Stegostoma tigrinum: one gene and its partners. The protein of the gene in region 1 interacts with the protein of each later gene in a pairwise test. Links are inferred from orthologs where the notes say so. Each region holds a gene or a part of one and is shown on either strand. Other genes may lie near its edges.

The links.
Region 2: the proteins of spry2 (region 1) and ubiquitin-associated and SH3 domain-containing protein A-like interact in binary tests that used the Homo sapiens proteins (3 or more experiments, as listed by UniProt). The two-hybrid records come from large-scale screens. The link is inferred for Stegostoma tigrinum from reciprocal best matches to the Homo sapiens genes SPRY2 and UBASH3A.
Region 3: the proteins of spry2 (region 1) and zdhhc17 interact in binary tests that used the Homo sapiens proteins (3 or more experiments, as listed by UniProt). The link is inferred for Stegostoma tigrinum from reciprocal best matches to the Homo sapiens genes SPRY2 and ZDHHC17.
Region 4: the proteins of spry2 (region 1) and otx1 interact in binary tests that used the Homo sapiens proteins (3 or more experiments, as listed by UniProt). The two-hybrid records come from large-scale screens. The link is inferred for Stegostoma tigrinum from reciprocal best matches to the Homo sapiens genes SPRY2 and OTX1.

The regions. Positions count from the first base shown.
Region 1 is NC_081359.1:30,489,313-30,496,934, reverse strand, and holds the start of spry2 (protein sprouty homolog 2), read left to right. Parts: upstream 1-4,600; 5' UTR 4,601-4,643; coding exon 4,644-4,789; intron 4,790-7,622.
Region 2 is NC_081365.1:101,811-109,355, reverse strand, and holds the start of ubiquitin-associated and SH3 domain-containing protein A-like, read right to left. Parts: upstream 3,019-7,545; 5' UTR 2,921-3,018; intron 1-2,920. Other genes in the region: cytochrome P450 2J1-like, read left to right, coding at 5,458-5,620, 5,708-5,848. UniProt on the Homo sapiens protein: Interferes with CBL-mediated down-regulation and degradation of receptor-type tyrosine kinases. Promotes accumulation of activated target receptors, such as T-cell receptors, EGFR and PDGFRB, on the cell surface.
Region 3 is NC_081371.1:62,884,621-62,891,718, reverse strand, and holds the start of zdhhc17 (palmitoyltransferase ZDHHC17), read left to right. Parts: upstream 1-4,083; 5' UTR 4,084-4,111; coding exon 4,112-4,183; intron 4,184-7,098. UniProt on the Homo sapiens protein: Palmitoyltransferase that catalyzes the addition of palmitate onto various protein substrates and is involved in a variety of cellular processes.
Region 4 is NC_081362.1:1,438,478-1,445,982, reverse strand, and holds the start of otx1 (homeobox protein OTX1 B), read right to left. Parts: upstream 3,002-7,505; 5' UTR 2,342-3,001; intron 1,261-2,341; 5' UTR 1,126-1,260; intron 957-1,125; exon of another isoform or gene 1-956. Other genes in the region: ehbp1 (EH domain-binding protein 1), read right to left, coding at 6,257-6,347, 6,553-6,667. UniProt on the Homo sapiens protein: Probably plays a role in the development of the brain and the sense organs. Can bind to the BCD target sequence (BTS): 5'-TCTAATCCC-3'.

The DNA of each region.
Region 1 (7,622 bases):
CTGAGAATGGTTGGATCTAACACACTGCTCTGAAGAATTCCTGCAGCGATGACTCAGATGGATCATCGACTGGACATCAGTACGAAGTTTATTGCAAGTGCATTAGTTTTGTCTTTATTCCCTGATGCGTTGGGTTCACCCGTAAATGAAACTGGGATATTTTTGGACCCTTACCTCTCTGTTAATTGTTTAGTTGCCCGCCACTGTTAATGACTGGGTGTGACAGTACTTCAGATCCTAGATCTGATGTGTTTGTTATGGAATTGTTTAATCCTGTCTATTTTATAGTGCTTGTACTACTTGGCATACAAGTGGTCCTGCATTGTAGCTTCACCAGGCTGAAATTTTATTTTCAGATACGTTTGGCGTTGCTCCTGTCAAGCCCTCCTGCACTCTTTGAACCATAATTGGTCTGTCAGCTTAATGATCTTTTATTAATGGCTTATAGTCATGCCCGTGCCAACAAAGGGAAATACTCTCTCTGTATCCACTTGGTCAAAACCTTTCAGAGGTTTTACTATCCTTTCTAGTATTTATAAACTTCCAAGTGCAATATCTGTATCAGTTATGTTCACAACTGTACTCCATGATATCATATAAACCAGCTGAGGACTAATCACAACCCAACTTATCAAACGAGTTATACTCTTCATAAATGTTTAACACCCCCATAAAAATGTCCTTGACTTGCATCTTAATTTTTCGGCTCACCATTGCCCAAAAAAAATCTGTTTTGAAATCTCCACAGCAGACAATATATAGTATAATATGCCCATCTGTAGTATACAGGAAGAGAAGTTTATTATTTTAGTTTGAACATTTTACAAGAGGCACTGGAATAAATAACCAATACCATTAGTCATCTTAAATGATCTCGGTCTCAAGCATAAATATGGAATTATTGCAAGTGGCACTGAATCTGGGCCAAATGTAAATTAGCTTCTCCTTTGAATTGAAAGTATCATTTGGTTGAGTCGGGCAGATTCAATCAAAAGTAAGGTTACAAATCCTAAAACTGATTGACCATTTCAATCAGATATTACATTAGATATTACATTAATTATGCATGGGTCATCCAAGTAATGTATTTGTGCAAATGTCATGACCAGAGCGCATGCTGTACACATTTCCCTCAAACAAAAATATAAACCAAAGATCTCAAATTACGAACAGCCTGCAAGTACAGGCAGCCAAGTACATGCCTATCTACAACACTGGTTAGTATATATCAGTCTTCGGTATGTTTGTCATTCCAATCTACATACAATAGTTGTCATCAATTTTAATGATGGGCAGCAGAATTGACATACTGCAACAACATTTAAAAAATCAATGTCTTATATTTTATGCTCACAGTTTATTTAGCAATACTTAATGTACTCCACAGAAGAATTAAAATTATTACTAATAAAAACTAAATCCACCAATCCACAAAAACTTTAAGACAGCAATTGAGAGCATTTAGATAATGAATTGGTTACATTTGAAATGGATCTAAATACAGTTATGATGACTAACAGTAGATATTGATGGAGACCTTAATGGGTTGTAGTCAACCTTTAACGTGAAATTGTCTGTCATCTTTTATTTTTGGCCATGACTTGTCCTACTTCTGTCAGCTCTCCTCAATTTAAGAGATGGTAGGAACTGCCGATGCTGGAGAATATGAGATAACAAGGTGTAGAACTGGATGAACACAGCAGGCCAAGCAGCATCAGTATATCCTGTAGTATACAGGAAGAGAAGTTTATTTTTTTAGTTAGGGCATTTTAACAGAGGCACTGGAATAAATAACCAATGCCATTAGTCAACTTAAATGATGTAGGTCTCAAGCATAAATATGGAACTCCTGCTCCTCTGATGCTGCTTGGCCTGCTGTGTTCATCCAACTCTACACCTTGTTATCTCCTCAATTTAAGCTTGTTTTCCCATGTTACATAGCTACATATATTGTTTTCACTTCAAGTCTCATTAGGAATGTATTTTAGGAATTTGGCATCATGATTGGTTGCCTTAAATTAGTCTATATGTTCATAGTATCTTGCTAAGTATTACATATTATACTGCATATCCTACATACAATGAGGTTTGTTAATATTAAATCAAAAGATCAACATTGAATTTGTTGAGAACAAAACATCCACAAGTATTCGGGAAACTAAATTACTTTTTTCATTATTTTTAGGATCAATAGTGAATGGCCTATTATTAACATGTGATGATTCATCTCGCAGACAGAACTGACCTATTTGGCTCACCCTGTTAAGGAAATCCTCTACTGATTATTGATAATCGATATGTCCTGTTTAGCTCCTGGCTGCAGGAAACAGCATTTTGTTAAGTGCTAAGAGTGAAAGAGGGAAGTTCCTCAATAAAATCTGAACAAATGGCTTATAACCGTTCATTTGCCCTTGTCAAACCAAAATAATAATGGAAGCTGTGATAATGGGAACTGCAGATGCTGGAGAATCCAAGATAATAAAGTGTGAAGCTGGATGAACACAGCAGGCCCAGCAGCATCTTGTGCTCCTGAGATGCTGCTTGGCCTGCTGTGTTCATACAGCTTCACACTTTATAATAATGGAAGCTATTTGTTTAAACCAATTGTTATTTTTATGGTTATATATGCGGTAAATGGCTTCCACTGACTTAGCAGTAATTCACTGCTGCTTTTTTCACCATAAAATCACAAATGACATCCTATGTAACTGCAGCAAAGGTCAACTAGCATTCTCATCTTTTTTTGACCTGTCAGTAGGTTTTAACATAGTTGGCTACATCTTCAAGAACTCTCTGTGATCATCCAGCTCTACTCATCTGTTCCAAACTTTGCTAGTTCATTGTCAACAAAGGATCACTTGTAATGGCCTCTCTTCCTGCTTCTGCTCCATGACCCCTGCTTTTGCTCCCATGGAACTATTCTTGCTTCTCTCCTATTTCTTATCTACATGCTACCCCTTGGTGGCATCATCTGAAAACATATCTCTTATTTTTCACATGTGTGCTGATAACATCCAGCACTATCTCACCATTACCCTGCTCATTTCCTACACTATTGCTAAATGATCAAACTGCTTGATTGACATCCAAAACAGGATTCACTCCGGTATGTCATCTATATGTCTTTGTCTACCTTAACCTTCACGATGGTTTCCAGTCATTTAGCAAACTATTTGCTTTCCAGAATCCAGAATTGTCACTCCAGATTGCTGGTTGTTTTCCATTCCATCCACTCCACCCTCAGAGTGCTGTGACTCAATAGTATACACCTATATTTTAGGGTTTTCTACAAAACTATTTGTCAGTTGTTTTCTAGCCTCCTCGAAAAGCCCTATTAAAACCCCTTCTTCTTTGACCGTCTCCACGTTTCTCTCTCCACCAGCCTCCAAAACTGAATTCGCCTCATTTTATCTGCTCATTTCCTCTTGTTGTGTATATTTTCTCTTTTACCTGAGAAGGGATTTTAATGCGTGTTTTTTTGAACCCAAATAAATGATCGTGGGTTTCACGCATGGTTTCCAGTAACAGGGATATTTAATGGCAGTTTAGAAACCTTGGCATGTAAAGGGATCAATATCAATGAATTTGCACAGTTTGCTCAGTTTATTGCAGTGATAAGTGTGGGCACGTTTATTGGGGAACTGTTTTGACTAACACTTGAAGGGTTAACAATTGCAAGGGCACAGAAGATCAAATGTACGGATTGATTGCTGGAAAATTCTACCGTGTGTTTATTAATTTTTAGATCCGATCTGGTTTCTGCAACAGATTATTGATATTCAGAGACAGTGAACCTTTTTAAAAAAATCGAAAGCTTCAACAATAACCGGGGTCGTGCGGGGTGGGGGGGGGGGGGGGGGCGGTGTGTGAGCCGGTCGAAAAGCTGGAGTCTGATATGCAGATTGCAGTTTAAAAGACGTCTGTTTTGCACTGCATGTTCAAGCAGCACTAGACTTTTATTACTGGCACAAATTGAATATTCTCTCCGTCTCCTCCCCATCCCCCGCCCCATTTCTCACTCACTCAACTCTAATGAATTTGAGCCCAGAACCAATCAGCAGAGACCGGATGCAATATATCCTCTGGGACAACAAATGCTCTATTCGATCCCATGACGCCATTTACCCATCAGCTACCTTTGGAAAACTTAATAGCAGTTCGCGTAAATCTGCTTCTTTAAAGCACTTTGCAAACTTCACATCTGTGGGAAGGATCGGGGCGCCGGAGTAGCAGGGGGAACAACTGTAAACCGCTTGTAAAGGAAACAGCCACTTGTGAATGAAGTCCGAGCGCCTAGAATTCCCTTCTGCAAAGTTGCAACATTGACAATTTTTTTTCCCAAAAAGCTGAGTGGAGTGAGTGCGTGTGTGCGCGCGTCCGCCCTCGTGTCTGCTTCTGCTGGCTTCATTCAGGAAAAAAAAGGATTTTGCTTGCTCTCTCGCTCTCTGCTTGTTAAAAAAAAGCGCACACACACACAACAAGCGGTGATCGATCGGTCGCTGGCTGTGATCAGCGATCGGACAGGTCCTGTTGCCTTTCCCCCTGCATTATCCTCTCTCTCTCTCTCTCTCTCTCTCTCTCCCCCCCCCCCCCCAACCGTCTCTTCTCCCATTTCCCCCCAACCCTCTCCCCGCCTCTGTTGGATGCTTTTACAGATAGTGGCCGGGGCAGATCTTCGCTGGAGTCTGTATCGGCGGCTGTCTCTCTCCTTTGCTTCTGGCGGAGCATATGTGCTTCTATCCGCAGTCATAAACCGACGGAGAGGAGTTCGTGGAGCGCCGCAACCACGGTAAGTTTTTTTTAAAAAACATCTTTTAACTTGCATGGAGTAAACTCAGCTCACTTTTCAAATAGCGCTGGGATAAATTTTCAACAAAATTGGAAGTAGAACTCTCGAAAGGCATTTGGAGAAGTTTTTAATAGGCGTTTGGGGCTTTTTTTAAACAAAAATGCATTTGCAGGCAATCATTTTAATCTTTTTGCCTGCATGTCAAAGGCAAATACACACTTAAAGCATTGAGTGAGTTAGATTGTTTAACGCGTCAACATTTTTTTAAAATTCCGGGACAACAATGTAAAATAAGAAACATTCTGAATGATAGCACCGACCCCTCGCAGTTGTACCGAATAGGTCAGGCAAGCGTAGAGCCGGATTATGTTAGGAAGGGCTTTAAAAAAAACTCAGTCCTCACTTTGAAAACATACTTGACTCAACTTTGCAATCCGTTTGGTTGAGCTGTACTGGAGGGGAAGCTGCAAAGGAAATACGCTGAAAACCTTGACCAGGTGGGATATTGGGATTCAGCCCACTTAGGTGAGTTCCAGGTTTGTTCGAATAATAACCTTTTGACGGGACGATGCGCCTCTCTAGGTGAGTGGGTGGGTTGTGGGGCTGGTGAAGTTGGGAAAGGCGCTCTGAGTTGATGCTACTGCATTTAGACAGGGTTTGGCTACGGGTGCAAATGTCTGGAAAAAGTCGAGTTCGTGTTCTGTTTTAATAAGGGATTCATTAACAAAAACTGGTTTAGGAAGCGGTTTTGGATATGCGACATTCCGCCCGGAGATGATATTGAGAGGGAGAGTGAATATTGCACCGACCCCTCTATGCTGTCGTAAGGCGTCCTCGTTTTAGCCCGTCTTCCTTGCCCACTTCTGCCCGTTCACCGCGCAATTTTCTGCCACCCCGTCTGACCTCTGTTAGTCCCCCGGGTTTGCTAGCCCTCTGTTAGCCCCCCACCCCGGGTTTGCTAGCCCTCTGTTAGCCCCCCGGGTTTGCTAGCCCTCTGTTAGCCACCCCCCCCCCCCCGGGTTTGCTAGCCCTCTGTTAGCCACCCCCCCCCCCCCCCCCCCCCGGGTTTGCTAGCCCTCTGTTAGCCACCCCCCCCCCCCCCGGGTTTGCTAGCCCTCTGTTAGCCACCCCCCCCCCCCCCCGGGTTTGCTAGCCCTCTGTTAGCCACCCCCCCCCCCCGGGTTTGCTAGCCCTCTGTTAGCCACCCCCCCCCCCCCGGGTTTGCTAGCCCTCTGTTAGCCACCCCCCCCCCCCCCGGGTTTGCTAGCCCTCTGTTAGCCCCCCCCCCCCCCCCCCGGGTTTGCTAGCCCTCTGTTAGCCCCCCCCCCCCCCCCCCCGGGTTTGCTAGCCCTCTGTTAGCCCCCCCCCCCCCCCGGGTTTGCTAGCCCTCTGTTAGCCCCCCCCCCCCCCCCCCCCGGGTTTGCTAGCTCTCTGTTAGCACCCCCCCCCACCCCGGGTTTGCTAGCCCTCTGTTACCCCCCGCCCCCCATTTCCTAGCCCTCTTTTACCCCCCCCCCCCCGTGCCCCCCCATTTCCTAGCCCTCTTTCTGTCCCCTGGTCTTTGCTTGTCTTTTTTATGACGCCTCTTCCCCCCCCCCCCCCCAACCACCCTTGTTTTGCTCCGTATTGTGTCCCTTCCTTGCCTTGCCTTGCACTCTTCCTCTGTCTTGCTTTGCGCTTTTATGCCTACCCCGTCTCTGTTAGCCTCCTCCAGACCATTAGTCACTGGGTGTGATGTAAGGGGCTCCCTCAGCGGTTTCGCTGAGGACTGGAGCCCGGTTCCATACCACAGTCTTTCCCTCATTACCCCCACCCCTTTAACCAGACCCTTATCCGGTTGCTTGTTTGTGAAAGGAGTGGGTCCTGCTCCAACTTTCCACGTGTTTGATGTTATTTATTATGAAGAGGAAAGGAAGTCGGGCAGAACCAAAAAAAAACCTTGTTTCAAGAGCCTTTTTCGCAAAAACTTCACTTCAAGTCAAGAGAACTGAATTGAATTGGCGCAAGTGGTGGATTGTAATCCCATTTGCAGCCTCCTCTCTGCAGTAGTTGCATATGGAAGTTGTCACGATTTTCTTTTCATGGTGAATGATCCGTGCATAAAACCTCACCCACAATATGTATATTGTTCTGAGTTTGACATTGCTGGCAGATTTTGATAAAGATGAGGGTGATAAGCATGCATTACTTGGGGACGGTCTCCCAAGTTAAATCTGGAGACACGAAACTTGTTCCTTGTGCCCCCACTGCTAATCCCTAAAGTGAGGGTATTGTTAAACCAAACAGCACTTGAATATTTTGAAAAAGTGCCATTTCTGAATGTAGTCATTTGGAATAAAACATTCAGCAAAAAGCAGCACAATGTGAATTGTGCCTGTGGCTCTCCCAGCTTTTTTGGACGTGGCCAAGTGCTTTAAGAGTCCACAGTTTCCCAGATTTCTGAAAGTCACAATTAACATTTAGTATAAGGAGCCCAGTCCAAGCTTATTTTGCCATTTCACCCCCTTGTAGTTTATTTTGTCGCTTAACTTGAATGGAATTCAGTTTTTCTTGCACTTTTTTTACTCCTTTAGAAGTTTTAAGGCACCCATTTCAAATTATTTACTTACGGAGAGTATGAAGCTAAACATTGTAATTTTAATAGAGTGACTGTAAATTCTTGATAGAAACTAGAAACTGATATTCTAATGAGCAGTAAAATGTGCACTAACTTCCCAAGAAAATGAAGCAGTGGCTTTATCAATGACAACATGAAGATCTTAGCAGTTACATTTAACTCCAGTTATACCTAATTTCCCCAGTTGTTTAACTTGATGTATCTATGAAAGGAAAC
Region 2 (7,545 bases), on another chromosome or scaffold:
TTTATAAATGACTCGGACGCAGGCATTGGTGGATGGGTTAGTAAGTTTGCAGATGACACTGAAGTCGGTGGAGTGGTGGACAGTGTGGAAGAATGTGATAATGGGAACTGCAGATGCTGGAGAATCCAAGATAATAAAATGTGAGGCTGGATGAACACAGCAGGCCCAGCAGCATCTCAGGAGCACAAAAGCTGACGTTTCGGGCCTATACCCTTCTAGGCCCGAAACGTCAGCTTTTGTGCTTCTGAGATGCTGCTGGGCCTGCTGTGTTCATCCAGCCTCACATTTTGTTATATTAGTGTGGAAGAATGTTGCAGGTTGCAGGGAGACTTGGATAAACTGCAGAATTGTGCTGAAAGGTGGCACATGGAGTTTAATATGGATAAATGTGAGGTGATTCACTTTGGAAAGAATAATAGGAAGGCAGAATACCGGGTCAATGGAAAGATTCTTGGTCGTGTGGATGTACAGAGGGATCTTGGTGTCCATGTACATAAATTGCTGAAAGTTGCCACCCAGGTTGATAGTGCTGTTAAGAAGGCTTACGGTCTTTTAGGTTTTATTGGTGGAGGGATTGAGTTCTGGAGCCGTGGTGCCATGCTGCAACTGTACAAAACGCTAGTGCGGCCTCACTTGGAATATTGCGTGCGGTTCTTGTTGCTCCATTCCTGGAAGGATGTAGAAGCATTGGAAAAGGTGCAGAGGAGATTTACCAGGATGTTGCCTGATCTGGAGCGCAGGCCCTATGAAGAAAGGTTGACGGACTTGGGTCTGTTCTCATTGGAGAGAAGGAGGCTTAGAGGGGATTTAATAGAGACGTACAAGATGATCAGAGGATTAGATAGGGTGGACAGTGAGAGTCTTTGTCCAAGGATGATGACGTCGGCTTGTACAAGGGGGCGTAGCTGCAAATTGAGGGGTGATAGATTTAAGACAGATGTCAGAGGCAGGTTCTTTACTCAGAGAGTGGTAAGGGCGTGGAACGCCCTGTCTGTCAATGTAGTTAACTCAGCCACATTAGGGGCATTTAAATAGTCCTTGGATAAGCAGATGGATAATGATGGGATAGTGTAGGGGGAGGGGCTTAGATTAGTTCACAGGTCGGCGCAACATCGAGGGCCGAAGGGCCTGTTTTGCGCTGTATTGTTCTATGAAATGAATGAAATGAATACCAACACTGCATTTTGCATTATGATGGATTTTGGAAGATTTAATTCAAGGGCGAACTATACTGTAAATGGAAAAGTCCTAGGAAAAATTGATGAACCGAGAGATCTGGGTGTTCAGGTCCATTGTTCCCTGAAGATGGCAACGCAGGTCAATAGGGTGGTCAAGAAGGCATATGGCATGCTTTCCTCCATTGGGCGGGGTATTGAGTACAAGAGTTGGCAGGTCATGTTGCAGTTGTGTTGGACTTTGGTTCGGCCACATTTGGAGTACTGTGTACAGTTCTGGTCACCACATTACCAAAAGGATGTGGATGCTTTGGAGAGGGTGCAGAGGAGGTTCACCAGGATGTTGCCTGGTATGGAGGGTGCTAGCTATGAAGAGAGGTTGAGTAGATTAGGATTATTTTCATTAGAAAGACGGAGCTTGAGGGGTGACCTGATTGAGGTCTACAAAATCATGAGGGGTAGAGACAGGGTGGATAGCAAGAAGCTTTTTCCCAGAGTGGGGGACTCAATTACTAGGGGTGATGAGTTCAAAGTGAGAGGAGGAAAGTTTAAGGGAGATATGCGTGGAAAGTTCTTTACACAGAGGGTGGTGGGCGCCTGGAACGTGTTGCCAGCGGAGGTGGTAGATGCAGACACGTTAGTGTCTTTTAAGATATATTTGGACAGGTACATGGATGGGCAGGGAGCAAATGGACACAGTCTGTTAGAAAATAGATGACAGGTTAGACAGAGGATCTTGATCGGCGCAGGCTTGGAGGGCCGAAGGGCCTGTTCCTGTGCTGGAATTTTCTTTGTTTTTTGTTCTTTGTTCATTTGCCTTCCTGACCATCAACTGAACTTACGCCAACCTTAAGAGAATCCTAAACTAGAACTCCCAAGTCCTTTCACACTTCAGGTTTCCAAAGCCCTTCCACATTTAAAGACGAGTGTATGCCTCTGTTCTTCTTATCTAAAAATAGAGCCCAACACTTTCCATCTGCCACTTCTTTGTCCACTCACTTAGCATTTCCTTCTGCAGCCTCTATGCTTCTTCAACACAACCTGTCCCTCCACCTAACTTCTGCCCTCAGCTCCTTGTCCTGATCATTCATGTATAATGCGAATAGTTATAGTCCCAACTCGGAACCATGCAGACCTCCACTAGTCACCAGCTGCCATCTTGAAAAAGGCCCCTTCATCCCCAGTCTCTGTCTTCTTCTACCAGACAGCCAATCCTTCATCCATGCCCCTAACACCATGGGCCCTTATCTTATTTAGCAGTCTCCTGTGCAGCATCTTGTCAAAGGTCTTCTGGAAATGTAATACATTACATGTACCCGGTCTCCTTTACCTAACTTGTTCATTACTTCCTCAGAGAAGGTTTGTCAGGGATGACCTCCTTTTGATGAAGTCGTGCTGATTCAACTCTATTTTATCATGCACTTCCAAATTCTGTGCAATCTCACCCTAATAATGGACTCTAAAATCTAACCGATAGCCCAGGTCAGGCTAACTGGCCTACAGTTTCCTATCTTCTGCCTCTGTCCCTTCTGAAACAGGGCGGGTTACATTAGCCATTTTCCAAGTCTCCAGAGCCCTCCCTGACTCCAGTGATTCCTGAAAAACCACCACCAACGCCTCTACAATCTCCTCAGATATTTCCTTTAGAACTTGGGGTATAGTCCATCTGGTCCGGGTGATTTATCCACCTTCGGACCTTACACCTTCCTTAGTACTTTCTCCTAAATGATAGCCACTGCACTCACCTCTGCCCCCGAGGTTTTCGAAGTTCTGGTATGCCACTGGTGTCTTCCACGTGAAAACTGATACGAAGTACCTATTCAGTTCTTTTGCCGTTTCTTTGTTCCCTGTTACTATGTTTCATGTAGATGGTTGTAAATCTGATCACCAGATGGCAGCATTGGATCAGTGTAGAAAATTCCACATTGATGGATAGCTGGCATTGAAATGGAACAGCAGAATGTTGATCAGACAGTGAGTTTTATGTTCCCTTTTATTTAAGCCTCACCAACAATATTTATTTAAATAACATCGTTCATGTAATATAACATCCCAAAGTTACAAGAAAAAGATAAGGATATCAAGGAAAATCAAACATGTGCTTTTTAAAACATATTCTTTTGTACCATTTGCACCAATATTTATTGTCCGTCCCAAATTGTGCCTGAGAAAGTGGTGGTGAACCACATTTTTCAGTCTAACTTAAGGTTGAAGTTTGTATCACATATAGATTGCATGATTAAAGAAGGCATTTAGCAAGCTTGCCTTCATTGCTCGGGCATATGAGTTCAGGACTTGGGAAATCATGTTGAGGTTGTACAGGACATTGCTGATGCCTCTTCTGGAATATTATGTCCAGTTCTGGTCGCTCCATTATGGGAAGGATATTATTAAGCTGGAGAGAGTTCAGAAAAGACTTACCAAGATGTTGCTGGGAATGGAGGGTTTCAGTTATGGGGAGAGGCTGGACAAGCTGGGACTTCTTTCACTGGAGAGAGAAAGGTTGAGAGGTAACCTTATCGAGGTTTATAAAATCATGAGGGGTATAGATGAGGCAAATGGCAGGCTGCCTTTTACATAGGGTGGACAATTTTAAGACTAGAGGGCACATTTTTAAGGTGAGAGGAGAAAGACATAAAAAAAGACTTGAGGGGCAATTATGTTCCATACATGGAGTGGTTTGTGTGTAGAATTAGCACATGAATAAGAAATGTTTGGAGTGATATAGATCAGGCATAGATAGGTGAGATATTTTAATTTGGGATTGGGGTTGTCATGGGCTGGTTGGATGTAAGGGTCAGTGTGCTGTATGCCTCTATGAGTCTCTTACCTGTTAGGCACATAAAAAATCTCTACAATCTTCTTTTATATTAGTAGTCAGCTTGCTTTAAACTTCATCCTCTTCCTGCCTGCCTTTTTAGTTATCCTTTGCCTGATTTTAACTATCCCCTGGCTTTCTACTTATCTTCACTACATTGTATGCTTTTCCTTTTGCTTTTATTTTGTCCCTGATGATGCATGCCAGCCAGCTTCATCTGCCCCTTACTATGTTTCTTCTTCCTTGGCATGAATTTCTGTTGCACCTCCTGAGTTACCCACAGAAACTCCTGCCATTGTTGCTGCCCCATCTTCCCTGCTAGGCCCCCCTTCCAATCAACTCTGGCCAGCTCCTCCCTCATCTTTGTAGTTAGCTTTACTTAATTGTAATACAATTATACCTGATTCAATATATTCCAACTCAAACTGGAGGACGAATTGTATCATATTATGGTCACAGTCCCCTAGGAGCTCCTTCACCTTCAGCTCCCTAATCAGGTCTGTGTCATTACATATCACTATTTCCAGAGTTGCCTATTCCGAGTGAGCTCTACACCAAACTGCTTCAAAAAAAATCACATAGGCATTGCACAAATCCCCTTTTTTTCAGATCCACTAATAATCTGATTTTCCCAGTCCATCTGCGTACTGGAATCTCTCATGACTACTGTAATATGCCTTTCTTACATATTTTTTCTTTCTCCGGATTTATTTTCTTCCACACTTCCCGACTGCTGCTAGGAGACCTGCACTCAATTCCCATCAGGCCCTTTCTCCTTTGCAGTTCCTCAACTCTACCCACACAGGTTCTATGCCTTCCAATTCTCTATCACTTGTTATAAATTTAATTTCATTTGAAACTAACAAGACAACTATGCCACTCCCCACCCAACTGCCTGTCCTTTTGATTGGATTGACAGTGCTGTGTTGACAACATTGTAACTTTATGAAATATAAACTACAGGCTTTTCAAAACTTCTTTTATGGTTCATTGGAGTCAGTAATAGACTAGCATTTATTGCCTGCCTTGCTGGTGAACTGCCTGCAGTCTATGTGTCTTACTGACTTGGTGCTGCCCAGATGTGATAGCACATATTCCAGATGGGTGATAATGGGAACTGCAGATGGTAGAGAATCCAAGATAATAAAATGTGAGGCTGGATGAACACAGCAGGCTCAGCAGCACCTCAGGAGCACAAAAGCTGACGTTTCGGGCCTAGACCCTTCATCAGGTGGGGTTAATTTTATAACAAAGTGTGGAGCTGGATGAACAAACAGGCCAAGCAGCATCTTAGGAGCACAAGGCCTGCTGTGTTCATCCAGCTCCACACTTTGTTATCTCAGATTCTCCAGCATCTGCAGTTCCCTTTATCTCGGGGTTAATGTTATATACTGTTTCATGTGGAATCTCCGCCTTATGTGCACAAATACTGCAATTAAAAAAAATCTCCTTTCTGTTCTAAAGCTGGGAAAGAAATATGGCAATATATTCAGCATGAATCTAGGAGCAGAGTTTTTGCTGGTATTGGATGGTTACTCTGTCGTCAGAGAAGCACTGGTCCATCATGGGGAGGTTTTCTCTGCAAGGCCCATTTCACCAATATTCCTGCAACTCAAAGGCTCACATGGTGAGTGACAAACCTACTCTCACCACCAACTTCCTCAATCCATATATCTGAATCACCTTCCAAAACAACTCGTCTTTTCTTTCCCAGGAATTATGTTTTCCAATGGCAGTGAATGGAGAGAGCAACGTCACTTTGCTGTGTCACATCTCAGAAATTTGCTCCCTCAGGTGAAACCATGGCTCATATCTGAGGCCCGAAGGCTGAATGAACGATTTGTGGAATATCACGGTAATTCTGTTTGAGAAAGGACCAATCAAAGAAATTAGAATATTTTAGATTTTTAGATTTTTCTGCTCAATGTTGGGTACCACAAAGGAACATTTGCATTTGTGCACTACCTTATGACACCTCAGGATTCCCTTTACAGCCAATCTTTCTTTTGTCAAGTGCCATTACTGATGTGACGTTGGGAACATGGAAGTCACTTTCATACTGCAGAATGGCACAAATAGCAGTCACTATGTTACTAATGAGACAGTGTTCTTAAGAAGATAATGGAGATGACGTCAGGATTTAATAGGGATTTATATTTTATTCAATCTCTTCAGAATTGTTTTGACGTACCTTTGAGGAATATGTGACTTGAACCCAGGCCTCTTGGCCCAGAGGTAAGGACTCTACCATAGCACTGCAACAACTCTAAACTTAGCTCAATGAATTTTTTTCGGCTAAGTTGGAGTTAAAGTGGCGGAATCTTAATGTTAAAGCCAGCTTGTTCAGGTGTGACATAGAACATAGAACATAGAACATTACAGCACAGTACAGGCCCTTTGGCCCTCGATGTTGTGCCAACCTGTCATACCGATCTCAAGCCCATCTACACTATTCCATGTATGTTCATCGTGACATTGATAAATATTATTTCATATAAAGGGGAGTATAATTCTGGAACTTTCTCCCATTAAAAATAGAAACCTTTGGATTCTGAGAGTCAGCTGGAAGTGTTGAAACCATGATGGATAAATCAATGCAGCATAAGAGGTGTTAAGAAATTCAGAATCGCGGCAGACATGGAGTTAAGATTCAGATCAAAAAGCACTACAGTTAATATTGGTGAGCCTGAACAAACTCCTCATGTCTTTGTTGCACAACGTAAAATAACTGCACAGAGGCACCCTGTCACCAAGTTACCCTTTATTTACAAGTGGACAGTCCTTGACATTGACCTGGCTTCCACACAGCCAACCCTCAGTGTTAACAGAACCTCTGACAATCCTGTTTATATCTGTCAGCCAGGGCTAACTGATTGGACCAAGTCAGAGAATTCATATTCTATGAGGTCCACCTGGCTGACCTTGTTAGAATAACTATATCCCTCCCCTACTAAGTCTTTTCCTTGTAGCCTCTCATTTGCTGTTTCCTGATCATTCTCCTCTGAGTCAGCCTTGGACACAGGTGACATGTACCAGGCCATAGCACACCTCTTGTGCTCTGAGTGTCTCAGAAGAAATTGATCCTCTTCTTCAGTCAGTAAAGGCATCAGGACTGCAATATCCACTATGCCTATCTCAGAGTCTGAGGTTTCTTTGTTGCCAGCCAGAGGGGGAGAACACACAGGCTCCCTTAGTCTTTATGGATGGATGAGCTTGAGGCTCATTTGGAACTTGGCAGGTACGATGTTGTGGGGATAACTGAGACGTGGCTTCAAGTGGACAGGGCCTGGAAAATGAATATTCAAGGCTACACATGCTATCGAAAGGACAGACTGACGGGCAGAGGGGATGGGGTGGCCCTGTTGGTGAAGAATGATATTCAGCCCCTTGAAAGGGGGGACATAGAATTAGGAGATGTAGAGTCAGTATGGAGAGAGCTGAGAAATTCTAAGGGTAGAAGGACCCTAATGGGAGTTATCTACAGGTCCCTAAACAGTCTGGATATAGGGTGTAAGTTGAATCAGGAGTTGAAATTGGCCGGTCGCAAAGGTA
Region 3 (7,098 bases), on another chromosome or scaffold:
CGTGCAATTCAGACTTAACCAAAAAAAAATTCAGCTGCAAAAGTCAAGATGACAAGCTCAGACATTATTTTCCTCACAACCCTCTTGCATTTTACAATGGTGACGCACTGTTGTCAGTTGAGTGACAGTCATTCTTCAATTTGATGGTTAGTTAGATGAAGGTACATCTTGTTTTGTATGAATTCTTTGTTCTAAGTCTTTCAATTTTCCTGTCTTTTTCCTCACGCTGGGAGACAGAGAGACAGAAAGAAATCATTAGACATCCGAGCAAAAGTAAACCAATCAGCCCATCAAGTCTGCTCCACCATTCTAAAATACCAACAAGGCTGGTCTGATTGTCCTCAACTCCAGCCTTTTTCCTTGTTCCCTTCCTCACAAAGAACTCAGCCTTGCATATTCTTAATGACCCAACTTCGACAGCCCTCTGTGATAAAGAATTGCATTGATTCACTAGCATCCAATAGAAGAAATTCCTCTTGAACTCCATCTTAAATGTATGATTCCTCATTTTAAGATTGTCTCCTCTGGACTTAGACTGTCTTATAATGGGAAACAATCTTTCCACACCAACTCTGTCAAATCCCCTCAGAATATTGTATGTTTCAATAAGGTCACCTCTCATGCTTCTAAACTCCAATGAATACAGGTCCAATGTACCCAACCTCTCCTCATAAGACAGTCTCTCCATACCTGTATCAGCCTTGTGAATATTCCATTTGCCTTCCCTATGACCAGCTGCACATGCTTGATAGCTTTTTGTGATTCATGGACAGGGGATGAATCCCTTTGTTCCATATGTTTCTGCAGTCTTTCTCCTTTTAAATCATATTCACCTTCTCATTTTTCCTGCCAAATGCATATCTTCTCATTTCCACATATTATTCACTTGCTTAAACTGTCTAAACTCTTTGTGTCTTTCTCACTCCCAGCCTTCCCACCTAGGGGGCCCAGCAGCAGAGACCTGAGTAGGTTCAGCTTGCAGACTCAGGTGGCCAATCAGAGCAGATCTGAGTAGGCCCAGCAGTGCAGACTCAGGTAGGTCCAACAGCACAGCTTTGGGTAGGCCCAGCAGTGCAGACCTGACTAGGCCCAGCAGCTCAAACTCGAGCAACAACGTTGGAGGAGAGTTTGGGCTCCCGGCAGCTTCAGCATTGTCGAGGTGGTCCGACCACTGATCAAGGCTGCAGCAGCATAAGCTGGTTTGCTTTCCCAGAGGCATCCGCTTCCAGCGCAGATTCAAGGAGAAGGTGGCAGGAGCGATTTTGAGCCCATTATGAGATGCGATGGCATTAGCATAGGCTGTATCGGTGAGACAGACCCGAAGGAGACTTGTGGCAGCAACGGAATCAAGTTTGGGCCAGTGTGGTACTGGGAGGGATCATTGGCATCTGCATTGGCGAAGACCAGCAAGAACATACAGTGGTGATGGTATTGGCTGAGGTGAAGGGCAGTGACTTTCATTCCGTTGATGGCAGTGAAGGGATCTCATACCTGGCCAGCAGGCCCTTGATCCAGGGCAGAGCAATTAACAAAAAGAGCCATTGCATTGGACAGTTTTTCTTTATTTCTTCATTTTTTCTGCCTTTATATTCTATATTTTCATTTATTTTTCTGTGTTTTAAGACAGTACCAGCGAGTGGCGACACCATACAACACTTTTCATTGTGTTTTGTAACAAGGTACATGTGACAACAAATCAATGAAATCAAATTACTGATCTGGTCATCTTGAAAGACTCCAGTATGTTTCTTATGCTGATGCGGCAAATCCGTGCCTTGTCTCAGATTTGATTCAGTTAGAGGAGCTGCTGATTTAAAAAGCTGCACTTATTCAGGTCAAGAATAATTCAGGCTAAGTTCTTAGCTCCTCTGATGCTGCCTAACCTGCTGTGTTCATCCAGCTCCACACTGCACATCTTTGGCCTTCCTCCTCCTCATTTTTCTTATGTTCCAATGTAAATAAAGATATCAGACAGGGAAATTGTGAGTTTTTTCAAATTAATTCCTGGGATGTGGGTGTTGCTGGCTGGGCCAGCATTTACTGCCCATCCCTACTTGTCCATGAGAAGGTGATGGTGAGCTGCCTTCTTGAACTGCTGCAGCAGTTGGTGTGTAAGTACTCTGACACCGTCTTTAAGAAGGGAATTCTGGGATTTTGACCCAAGGACACTGAAGAAATGGCAATATATTTACAAGTCAGGATGGTGAGAGGCTTGGGGGAGAACTTGCAGGAGGTGGTGTTCCTATATATCTACTACCCTTGACCTTCTGGATAGAAGTGGGTTGTGGGTTTGGAAAGTGCTGCCTGAGGATCTTTGGTGAATTTCTGAGTGTATGTTGCAGACAGTATGCAACTTAAAGAATAATTAAGTTTGAAACGTGTCAGCTTATGAACAAAATCTTTTCCTCATGACGGGGTGGGGTGGATGTAGAAGTGAGAGCAGGAAATTGTTGCAACATACAAGGAAATGTCCTGCAATAAGATATATGACAATAAAGCAATGACTTGGAGAAAGCAATGCAAGGAAGTAATAGGACAGTATGAAAAACCTCTTATCACTGTTTGATAATTGCTTCAAATAATTAAGTGGCCATGAAGGTAATATCGAAGTTAGAAAGGAGTGAGCAAGAGCTATGAGGCCCTGTGTAGGAGATATGCTTATTGAAGTGATTTTCATCGTCTTTATTAAATCCAATCAGTAAATTAATATATAGTTAACCTAAATTAATCAAGGTTAATGTTTTATAAATAGTACATTAATTGAATTATTAAAACATTTTTCTGAGGCTTTATAAATCTTGTTAAAGAGTGAAGAGCTTATCCATACATGTGGTAACATTTTCCTTGGGAGCATGAGTAGGCCATTTGGCCCTTCACGCATTCCAGCACTCAATAGAATCATCAATGATCTAATCTCACTGAACAGCTGCACTGTCATCTGCCATCCTTCTTGCAATGAATAAATCTCTCTATTTGTTGCATCAACATGCAGACTTTATATGTTGCCTGTCTCAAGGGCTGCACAAGGAGGACACTGCGCACAGTTGTTCGTTTCATTTATATTTGGCTTTGAAAGGGTCTGAAAGAGTTAAGACTTGATTGCATGCAATAAGCACCACCAACTAAGATAATAAGATACCATGATGTCTTTGTAGGAAGGTAAAAGTTCGACTTTGTGGAAGACAAACCTGAGGCTGGGTTCTGTGGTAAGTAAAACAAAGTTGCTGGGAAAGCTCAGCAGATCTGGCAGCATCAGTCCTCTGAGGAAGGGTCACGAGACCAGTCATAGATGCTGCCAGAAATAATGGGAACTGCAGATACTGGAGAATCCAAGATAACAAAGTGTGAAGCTGGGGAGCACAAAAGCTGATGTGTTGGGCCTAGACCCGAAACATCGGCTTTTGTGCTCCTGAGATGCTGCTTGGCCTGCTGTGTTCATCCAGCTCCACACTTTATTATCATAGATGCTGCCAGACCTGCTGAGTTTTTCCAGCAACATTTGTTTTTGTTCCTGATTTATGGCATCTGTAGTTCGTTTGGTTTTTATTTAGTCTTTGTGGTAATGTTGAGTGGAATACAGTACATTGTGTTCACTCTTCAGGACTGTTTGTGTCAGACCACAAGGTGATTGTGACACACAATCAAGTGAGCCCCTGGGTGGAGCCACACACCATCTAGTGGGAAATGTGTGACAGAAGGCCTCTTGACCTGCTCAACACATTAACACAATTGACCACCCGATGCCAACTGGATGGTCAGTCAAGAGTGCCCACACACTCCCATGTCTACTCTTATTAAAAACTAGTCAACCTAAAGGGTTCTGAATGTTTTTGAAGATGTTTATTGCCAGGAGATGTTTGAGTGTGTTAAAGATGAATCTTTAATCCTTCAGGGACTGTGGCAGGGGAGGGGTAATTACAGCAGGAACAAGGTAATGCCTCATCAATACATAAGATATTTTATGTTAGAGACAAAAAGCCTCAGTAACTCCAGAAAGCTTTTTTCTCCATCGATTATTCAGCCTCCATCGATCGCTCCTCCCTCTCTGACATCCATTGCTCGCGGCTGGAGTGCGGCGCCAGTATCCCAGAATGCAGCGAGGCGGTTGGAGATGGCGGATCTTCACCGGGACGATCCCGAGCTGGAGCCGGATCCGGGATGTGTCCCAGGGCTCCACCCCGAGGTGAGAGTGTCATCAGCGCCCGCTGACCCCGAGCCCCGGCCCAACAACACCCGGAGCCCCTGGGAGGGTGCGGCGGGGCTGCGGACTGGCTCTGAAGCCCGACATCCCCTTCTCCAACCCTAATCACCCCCTCACCCTTCCATTCCCACCCTCCCTCTTCCCCTCCCCCATGAAAGGGATTTGACAGGGATGAGATGTTTCCCCGGGCTGGGATGTTTAGATTCGAGGTGCACAATTTTAACAATAAGGGAAACTACTTCGGACTGAGATTAGGAGAATGTTTTTAGCTCAGGTTTGTGAACCATTAGAATTCTCTGTATTAGAGGGCTTTGAAAGCTGAGTCTTTGAGTTCATTTGTAGTAATCTATTAACTGATTTCTAAATACCAATGACATAAAGGGATATGAGGCTGGTGTGGAAAAAGGGTATTGAAGTGGATGATTAGCCATGATCGTATTCAGTGTCAGCGCAGGATTGGCGGGCTGAATGGCCTAATCCCGATCCCCTTTCTTTAAATGGCTGCCTTGCAAGCATTCAGTTCCCAATAATCACTCAATCATGGCGGGAAACAACAGAAATATTTTTGTCCTCAGAATGTGTCCAGGCAGTTGAAAACTTCCTGGCCGCTTGGGCTGCATTTCGGTTACCAAAACCACTTTCCTTTCAGGTAATGGTGTTGAAAGCAGTTGTGTTTATATATTTTTATCTGTCGCCAAGTTTCCAGACACACACTGATGATGTTACTGCCAACAATTGTCTGCTGTCTCTATGAAGTATCTGAATGGATGGGGCCAAGTGCCTTGCCTGTAAAGCAATCTTCTCCCCCATCGCAGGCTATCAACAGCAATGAAAAGCAGTGGAATTGTCCTTGAGAAGAGAATTGTGAGAATGAGGCCAGGGAGTTGAGAATTATGTTCTGAAGTTGTCTTTCTTGAAGTTTGAGGCATTGTTGACTTAGATTGAATTTCCTGCTATGTGTTACAAAATGCGGAGGAATGGAAATTGTGGGAGATATAGCAGTTTGGATCGGAAATTGGCTTGCTGAAAGAAGACAGAGGGCAGTAGTTGATGGGAAATGTTCATCCTGGAGACCAGTTACTAGTGGTGTACCGCAAGGGTCGGTGTTGGGTCCACTGCTGTTTGTCATTTTTATAAATGACCTGGACGAGGGCGTAGAAGGATGGGTTAGTAAATTTGCAGACGACACTAAGGTCAGTGGAGTTGTGGATGGTGACGAAGGATGCTGTAGGTTGCAGAGAGACATGGATAAGCTGCAGAGCTGGGCTGAGAGGTGGCAAATGGAGTTTAATGCACTTTGATAGGAGTAACCAGAAGGCAAAGTACAGGGCTAATAGTAAGATTCTTAGTAGTGTAGATGAGCAGAGAGATCTCGGTGTCCATGTACACAGATCCTTGAAAGTTGCCACCCAGGTTGACACGGCTGTTAAGAAGGCATACAGTGTTTTAGCTTTTATTAATAGAGGGATCGAGTTGTGGAACCAAGAGGTTATGGCGAAGCTGTACAAAACTCTGGTGTGGCCGCACTTGAAGTATTGCGTACAGTTCTGGTCACCGCATTATAAGAAAGATGTGGAAGTTTTGGAAAGGGTGCAGAGGAGATTTACTAGGATGTTGCTTGGTATGGAGGGAAGGTCTTACAAGGAAAGGCTGAGGGACTTGAGGCTGTTTTCATTAGAGAGAAGAAGGTTGAGAGGTGACTTAATTGAAACATATAAAATAATCAGTGGGTTAGATAGGGTGGATAGGTATAGTGTAGGTTAGATGGGCTTGAGATCGGTATGACAGGTCGGCACAACATCGAGGGCTGAAGGGCCTGTACTGTGCTGTAATGTTCTATATTCTATGTTATTGAAACTTAGAGGCCCTATTAAACTGACAGCTTTGACAAACTTTGGTTTCCTATTCTAAATATCCTGAGCACCTTAAGTATCAAATTGTTTGTTAAATTTTCTTCAGCTCCTCAGGACATTTTATTTTCAAGATGATTTCAAGCTGCACTTGTTGTGAAGAAACGGACCAGAGTTGGTTGGGAAGAGCACACAGCATTGCTCGGACAAGGAAAAGGTTACTTTTGGGTGTATCAAAGCCGTGGAGGGATTTGTAAATTCTATTTGAAGAAGGGGTCAATTTAATTTCTTGTGCTGAGGGTATGTTCAGCAGTGTTCTAGTCAGTTTGAAGTTCAGGACGCCAGCTTGTAGATCTTTATAAAATCAAATAAAACCTCCCTCCAGTTCGGCAGTTCCTACTGTCTCTCCCTCCAGATTAGTAGTACTGCCAAGTTCTGAAGAACAATAACATTTGCACTCTGCAAGCTTATCTTCAGATTTCAAAAGCAATCACATCAAAATGGATTATTCAGAAGAACTTCTAAATCCTTGGAAGAATGCATATATCTCAGAATTTTCCCAACCAGGAGTTTACATACTTCTAATGGGGCTTGCCAAATGCCCAATTGAACCTGAATTCATCCATCATCTTGATGTGTCTTTGTACTGATCAATGATCTTTGCTCAATGTGCAGCCCTGTGTTGGAAGTGACTAATTTTGTTTGAATTATTTGCTGTTTTGCTTTCAGAAATTGCACTTGATGTCTAATTTGGTCAACATTCTGTTATTGATGCTTTTGTCTGAGTTGTTTGCGTTGTTACTTGTTCAGAGCAGCACATCGGCTTGATGGTTAGTACCGTTGCTTCACTGCGCGAGGCACCCAGGTCTGATTCCAGCCTTGGGTGACTGTCTAAATAAACACCAGAAGAACTGCAGATGTTGTAAATCAGGAATGAAAACAGGAGTTGGTGGAAAAGCTCAGTAGGTCTGGCAGCATCTGTGAAGAAAAAAAATCAAAGTTAATGTTTCAGGTCCAGTGACCCTTCCTGAGAACTCATGGTAGCTA
Region 4 (7,505 bases), on another chromosome or scaffold:
CCAGATAAAACCGTGCTCTCATTTAAAAGGCGATAGCCGTGTGCAAATGAAGTCAATTACAATTTAGATTAGACCTCAGGGGACGCAATTTAAAAGGAGGAACCTTATCAGCAAAATAAATGAACAAAAAAAACGAAAAACACGCCTCTCCAATTAGCCGCTAAAGTGGACTCAAGCTTTTCAATCGGCCCTTGGACGCTGCAATTGTAATTTTCAGTGAGAAAATGAAACAAATTAAACGATCCAAGTACTTTAGGAGGAGTCAGGTCAGTTACAAAATTGAATTAGTTAACAACACAAATACAAGGGGGAAAAAAAATTCAAAGTTAGCCATAGAGAGCTGTACTTTAACAGTCACAAGTTAGTTCACAATCTGAGGTCGTTTTCAAACTAGCCCCTTCAAAGAAAAACTCCCTAGCCTCACACTAATTCGTTGAGATTGCTGCCCCCCACCCCCCATGAATAAATACCGCGGAGTCTCACACTCACCTGAGAATATTTTAGACCAGGCCTGGAGTCTAGAACTCAGTAAAACGCAAGCAGGAGCCTGCTGTCTATTCTGTAGCACAACGCGCAACAAGGTTAGGTCGGAGCGGGTGGGACTGAATTCAAACACCCACCACCCCCCTTCCCAAAACAGACCCACCCCAGAAACGAAACAAGCAGCAAAGTGAGAAACTTGCTGCGAGCCTAGAGGCTGGGGAAGCGAAAGTTGCAGGTCGTTCCGTGTTTGTTTGGACCTGACTCAATGGAGAGTTGATCACTGCAGCCTTCTCTAAGAGAGCGCTGCTCTGGCGGAACTGCCCGACAATGATCCGCCCTTCACCAATCACCCGGCGACTTGTTCATGATTGACAGCTCGTCTCCAGGTGACGCCGGAGCACTACTTTCCCAGAGGAGGAATACACTTGCCCATCGCTGGGTAAAAAGCTCCTCTGAAAGTAGTCACAATCTGTCAGCTACATATTTCTGGACAAGCTGCAAAGTTATTCATGAAGAAACCCGAGCGGCCACCACTTAATTACAGCAGGTAATTATTGCTGTGGAAATTCACGCAATACAGCTAGCAGCTTGTTGTGAGACTAAACAATTCAGAGAACATTCATAAAGTCGGTTTTCTGTCACCTCACATCAGTGTAACTGGCACCTATTCAGTATCTGTTTCTCAGCCCGGTGGGATGTGCACCATTATTAGCGAACAAGGCACTGACTTGCGAGAAAATAAACCTGGCTGTCCGCATCATTTTCGTTACGAGTTTCCTGTGATAAATACATGAAATAAAGGAGAAGTATGAACCTCTATTGAGAAATCAGCTGGTTTCCCCCCCCCCCCCCCCCCACCCCCCATGTCCTGTTAAGGTTTCAGCTGAGGATATGTTAAACTTAGTTTCAGGTAAACGAATGTTTTAACCAGGAAATCTCTCTCTTTCGGGCCTTTCCAGCAAATAACAAGGGCCGGAATTTTAATACGGTTGTATTTTCAAGTCGTACTTTTAAAATAATTACTCCTAAAAATGTCGAGGTTTTTTTGTGTTTGAAATTGTACGTTCTCATGAATATTGATGACGGCCTAATCCCCATTTAGTTTTACATTTCGGGATAGTCAGCGTAAACTTTAATGGGACAGACTGCCTTTAATCGAAATTTCTAAAGAAAAAATACGCCGACGCGGGAAATAAATGAATTCGAGAAGGACTGTCGGCTGCTGGTTATCAAAGAAACCACTTTTCAAGCGTCACTTTTCTTTGGTGAACAAATAACATACGGTAACAGAATATCATGGAGGGGCACAGGGTTTCCTTAACTGGTTTTGAAAGGCTCGGTGAGTTCTTCTGAAAACCTTAATAAGGCTTTGGTCACTCTTTTGTTGTTCACAGAAAATCAACTCATTCTAATTGATGCGGGAACTGAAAGCGAGCTAATGTTCAAAGAAACCAACCGCCAGAAGACGAAATTACATTTTTTGCTTTACCGAGCAGCTCATCAAAGGAAGGTTTTACAAGACTTTCCCAATAGTTCACTGAAAGTCATCGACACGAGCACCGTTTCTGACAAAAGAACCAGCGGTCAATTCAATCCCAACTTAGCAAATAATGCACTTTGCTGGAAGTTTTTTTTTGTTTTGGTTTCTTTTTCGCCTGCGTTTGAGAAGTGAAACCTTCAAGGAACATAATTTTGCACCGAGGCAGGCTATTTCCATGATAATAATAAGATCTCGTTACCATGAGCAAGAAAGACGCAACCGACTGTTCGAAATAATTAGAAATTGTTCGGGATTAACATCAGTATTTGCTAAACGTAAAAAAAAGCTAATGCCTTCGGAAAAAAAATAAGATCGTACCTCACATGAACATTGTTAATTCATTCTGTACACGGCTTGCACAGTTTCGCACTGTTTCCTATTGTTCAGTTGTTGATAACTGAGGTATACTCTCTACCTTTCTGTTAGACTATTTGGCTAACCATATTCGCAGCTGGGATTGAACTGTTCTGTACATAAACCTTCGGTTGTACTGCTCTGTTTAAATCATACTTAAAAGATGTACATTTTAAAAATCCTGCCTTTTAACCAGCATTAAGGAAACGAAACATCCTGCTAATTTGTCTGATGAAACACAATCGAGTTTACTTCTGGAGCAATCCCAGGGATTTACTGATTGTTTTTATTGTGTGAAGTCTCTGTTTAAGATGCGCTGATCAAGCCTGTGTTAAGTATTATAGTATCAAGTAGCACTAACCTTTGTAAGAAGAGTATTTGTCTAATCCGAAATTGCAGGCGAATTTTCTTAAAGCCGAGCCTGAAACCCTGGGTTGGGGAAGGGGGGAGGGAGAGACAGGGAGAGGGACAGATGTGCGTTATTGCATCAAAAGGTAGAAGTCAGAGATTGCGGAAGATTTGGTACAGACAAAACTAAGAATGTGGTGTAACGTGGCACTGGAGCGGCACGGCGGGCCGATTATAACGGCCACACTTGGTTTAACTTGCTTTACACAGGGATGGGATAGTGTAGGGATAGGGATAAAACTGGGATAGTGTAACTGGCTCGGTGGAAAAGGTGGTGGGGGGGGGGGGGGGGAATTGAAATCCCAGTGATCATCACCTGCAGCCGCATTTAGATACATCCGAGGGGCCAAATGTAAAATTCACAAGAGACTCCTCCAGTCTCGATCGCGACTAAATCCCTTCATCAACTCCTTGTTCACCAGGTGAAGCGCTGAAAAGTTTTCAAACTGCGGCTCCCAGCCTCGTGTTAGCCCTTTCAGAGAGTTTGTCAAATCTGCTGCTTACTGTGGGCGGCCAGGAGCAAACAGGTAAGAACGGAGAGGATGACAACTACTTACAGTCATAATTGTTAAATTCCAGGCGGTGTAGAAATTATAGCCGGGAAGTTAGGAATGATTTAGGAATTTTCCAGCGCTCACGGTGCAATTGGAAGTTTGAATAATTAGCACCAATTGTGTCCAGGATCATGCGTATGTTACGGGCCGCAGCCCCTTTGCTGACATCTCAGTTCAGTCTGTGCACTTTTAACAAAATAAAATTTTTATTTCGGCTCAAACATATTTGGCACGAGGCGTGGACGTCCTTTTAGCTGAAGGTTAGACTTTCTGCAGGTCTGTGTGTCATGTGATAACGATGCTAAACGGTGCCAGTGCAGATTGTTTGATTTTCGACAGTCCCCAAAAGCCTGCTTTTGGACAGACTGAGGTGGCAGGAATGCTACTGATGGGCCAGAACTGTCCTGGAAAACTAGACACAGCAAATGAATTTGAAAGTCGCCGGAATGCGTTGAGTGTTACAGGTTCTGAAGGCGGCGGCTCGAATGGTGTCACAACAGAAATTCCTCATTCAATACATTGACTAAAAGCTCTGCCATCTAAACAGATTGTGTCTGTAAAATTGTCTCTTCCTTGTGCTAATCTCCCTCCAAAGTAATTAATAGTCCCCACTAACAAATTAAAAAGATACTGTCCACACTAGCCGCGGGAAGGATGGTAATGTCCGACATTGTCTCAAAATGAGTTAAAAAAACAGTAATGGGATTCACTTAGAAGCGACTTTAAAAGATTTGCTTCTCCAGTTGAAGACATTGATGTGTGATGTTACAAAGTTAATGGCTAGCGGCCGGTTTCACCTCTTTGCTGCAATGACTTCACAGAAAAATCATTTCAAAGTTACACAACCACAGAAAATCCGAAATGTTTTGCGCCGATGAAACCGAAACGAACAGTGTAATAATTTGGAATGTGCAAAGGGAGTTCAGCTCCTAACGGCTACGAGCTCTAGTTGATGTGATTGGCGTCGTGTAAGAAATGTATCCTATCAAATTATTTTAGGAACGAGCCTCAAACAGAAAATGTCCTTTCAATATTTCCGTGACACCGCGGAAACAACATCAAGACGCGCACTTTAAACTTTAGCTTCGTGCCTGGTGCGTTTCCTGGTTGACAGCTGCAGGGTTTGAGAATGAGAGACATCAGGTTCATTTAGAAATGTTTACAGAAAGGGGTATATCGGCCGTTGATCGAGCTGTTCAGTTCAGCTTCGAATATTTATTAGTTCATTACAAAAACACATCATCTGTTTAATTGTTTGAAAGATGTCGATATTAGAGCAATATTTTTTAAAAAAGTCGATTGAAATGACTGCAATCGGCGGCTATTGCAGAAATTAAAACATGAGAGTACAGTCACCGCAGATGGGCCCCACACGTGAGGAATCTGCAGGGCAGGGAATGAAAAAAAAACAGGAAAAAGGGGCAGAAACCCAGCCAGGTGCAGCTAGAAAACTAACCTCGGGGTTTTGGTTGGGATTTTGAACAAAGATTTGGATTTTCAACTTTGATTTTGATTTCAGACGGTCGGGAGGAGTTCCCGGGAAAACTGCTGTAGGAGACGCTTTACAGGTATCTTTTCTGACTTTGCTGTGCGCCTGCTTCAGCCTGGGCATGGAGCTTTTACCCACCAGGATGGAATTGCTGACGTGCAATCGTTAAAAAACTTAAACCGGTTTGGTTGTAGCGAAGGAAAACTTTTATTTATGCATTAAACAATTCCAATTTAAAGTAAATCGCTCCCCAATCGAAGTCATTTATGTAAATAACTCAAATTTAGAAGTCGCAAGTCTGTATGAACATGATTAGGCTAAAGCATCAACAACAGATTCTGTCCACATAAAACGCTTCAAAGTTCACTTTTTATTCAAGATTCAGAGGCGGTCCTGGAATAAATAAACAGAAATATTTCTTCCCCCAAGCAGCAGTTTTATTGACGGTAGGTTGGTGCAGAGAAACGTGTTGAAAATGATTCCGATCTTCTAGAGAACTGCTTTTGCTTTCGGAAGACAAATAACAAGCATTTTCGAGCCAAACAAAAACGTTTTAGCAAAATACCTGGAGCTTAAACAAGCAGCTCGCGCTGTTCCGGGTAATAAATACATAGAAAACACCAGAGAACGAACTGACCGCACCAACCGGGTGCAAAGTCATCAGCCCTTTTCTGAGTTTAAACTAAAACTAACTTCAGATAATATCATTTACAACATAGCCGCTCTGTAAAAGCCAACTATTTATATTTTAAAAAAAACCGGACTTTACAGCTCCAATGAAACGTTCCAATATTCAATGGAAATAAACCTAGATATTGAAAATGCAGCAACTAGCAAGCTCAAACATTCCGGTTTAGAGATTGTTTCTTGAAGATGTTTCACTTTTTGACAACTGATGGCGATCAATTTATTCAAAGGTGCACCCAGAGGCTGGAGTTCCGCAGTTTCTGTAAAACAGTAACGTTCAGAAGCCGGTAACCACCGCCAACCTCCCCGGTCACAGTATCAAATCTGATCCAACATCCATTTGAGGCAGATCAGTGCGGCGCACAGAAAGCCGTCTCAGTGTTAATAAGAAACAATCAGGAACTGTCCTGCTACATTTCGCAACTATTTGGTGTTTTTCCTATCCTCCTTAATGAGCAGGGAATTCTTCCCAAATGTAACTGATAAAACATTAAATGTCACCGTTACAAATAAAACAATTACACGCGGCTTTTTTTTTTACAAAATACACTTTCATAAAAACGACAGATGCAGCCATATGACGGACCTGCGGCCTTAGGACGATTAAATGCTCTGACAGAAAAAAAATACAACAGTTTACAATCTAATTGAAACATGATATCATTCAAATCCATCACATAGTTTATTAAAATGAGAGTGAAAGTGTGTGTAAATGATGGGAGATCTTCTAGTGCATCTCTCTCACTGAATGAGACACTTATCTTCTTTCTTTACAATTTTCCCTTTGTTTTGTTCGAGCGTTCGTTCCAAATGTTCATCTTCTTCTTCCGCCCTGGAACACACAAACAGGCTTCATTAGGGACTGGGGCAGCACCAAGAGACCTGACTCTTGAAGAATGCAACATTCAAAAACTAAAGCTAGATTGGATAGGATCGAATACTGAATACATTCAACCCGGAAAGTTGGAGGATAACGTGCAGGCGAAAGGCTCGGTTTTCATTCCCACCAAGTAACTTTTCTTAATTTAGTAACTTACTGTTTTTCCTGTGCATCTAAATCTCGGACAAGCGCGTCCCGTTTGTTAACCAGAATAACTAGTTCATCTAGTAAGAGCTGCTCACGTCTTTTCTGAGCTTCTGTTTTCTGCCAGTCTGAAAAACACAATAGAAACCAGTTACTCTCCATTTTTTTTAGCTCCTCTGCCAGCTAAAGCCCAACCAGATCCCGATTCCAGATACCAACCTAATCCGATCTCAGATATCAACCCAACCTGATCCCAGATACCAACCTAACTTGATCCTGATCCCAGATTCCAACCTAATCCGATCCCAGATACCAACCCAACCAGATCCTGATACCAGATACCAACCTAATCTAATCCCAGATATCAACGCAACCTGATCCCAGATACCAACCTAATCCGATCTCAGGTATCAACCCAACCTGATCCCAGATACCAACCCAACCCGATCCTGATCCCAGATTCCAACCCGAGCCAGGATACCAACGCGATTCTGATTCCAGATACCAACCCAACCCGATCCGATCCCAGATACCAACCCAACCAGATCCTGATCCCAGATACCAACCCAACCAGATCCTGATCCCAGATACCAACCCAATCCCAATCCCAGATACCAACCCAACCCCACCCCAGATACCAAACTGATTGTGAAGTTGACCACATTAACAGGCAATATATTGGATGTTTGGATACAAAATTAAAAATACGTACAACAACCAAAAATGCAGACATTGACAATCACTCACGGGAAACCAAGAGCTAGCTCTTTGCAGATTCTGTTGGTTATTTGGCATCAAAGTTAATCAGAGTTGAATGTATGCCCCTGGCCCCTCCAGGCTGCTGGGGCAGGGAGGGTGGTTAGAGACAGTGGCCTCTTGGCTTTATTTGTGGTACCGGTCGCTGGCCAACAGTGAATTTCAGCTCTTTGCGCTTTTTTTTTCAGTTCAATGGAAGGGATGGGGGCA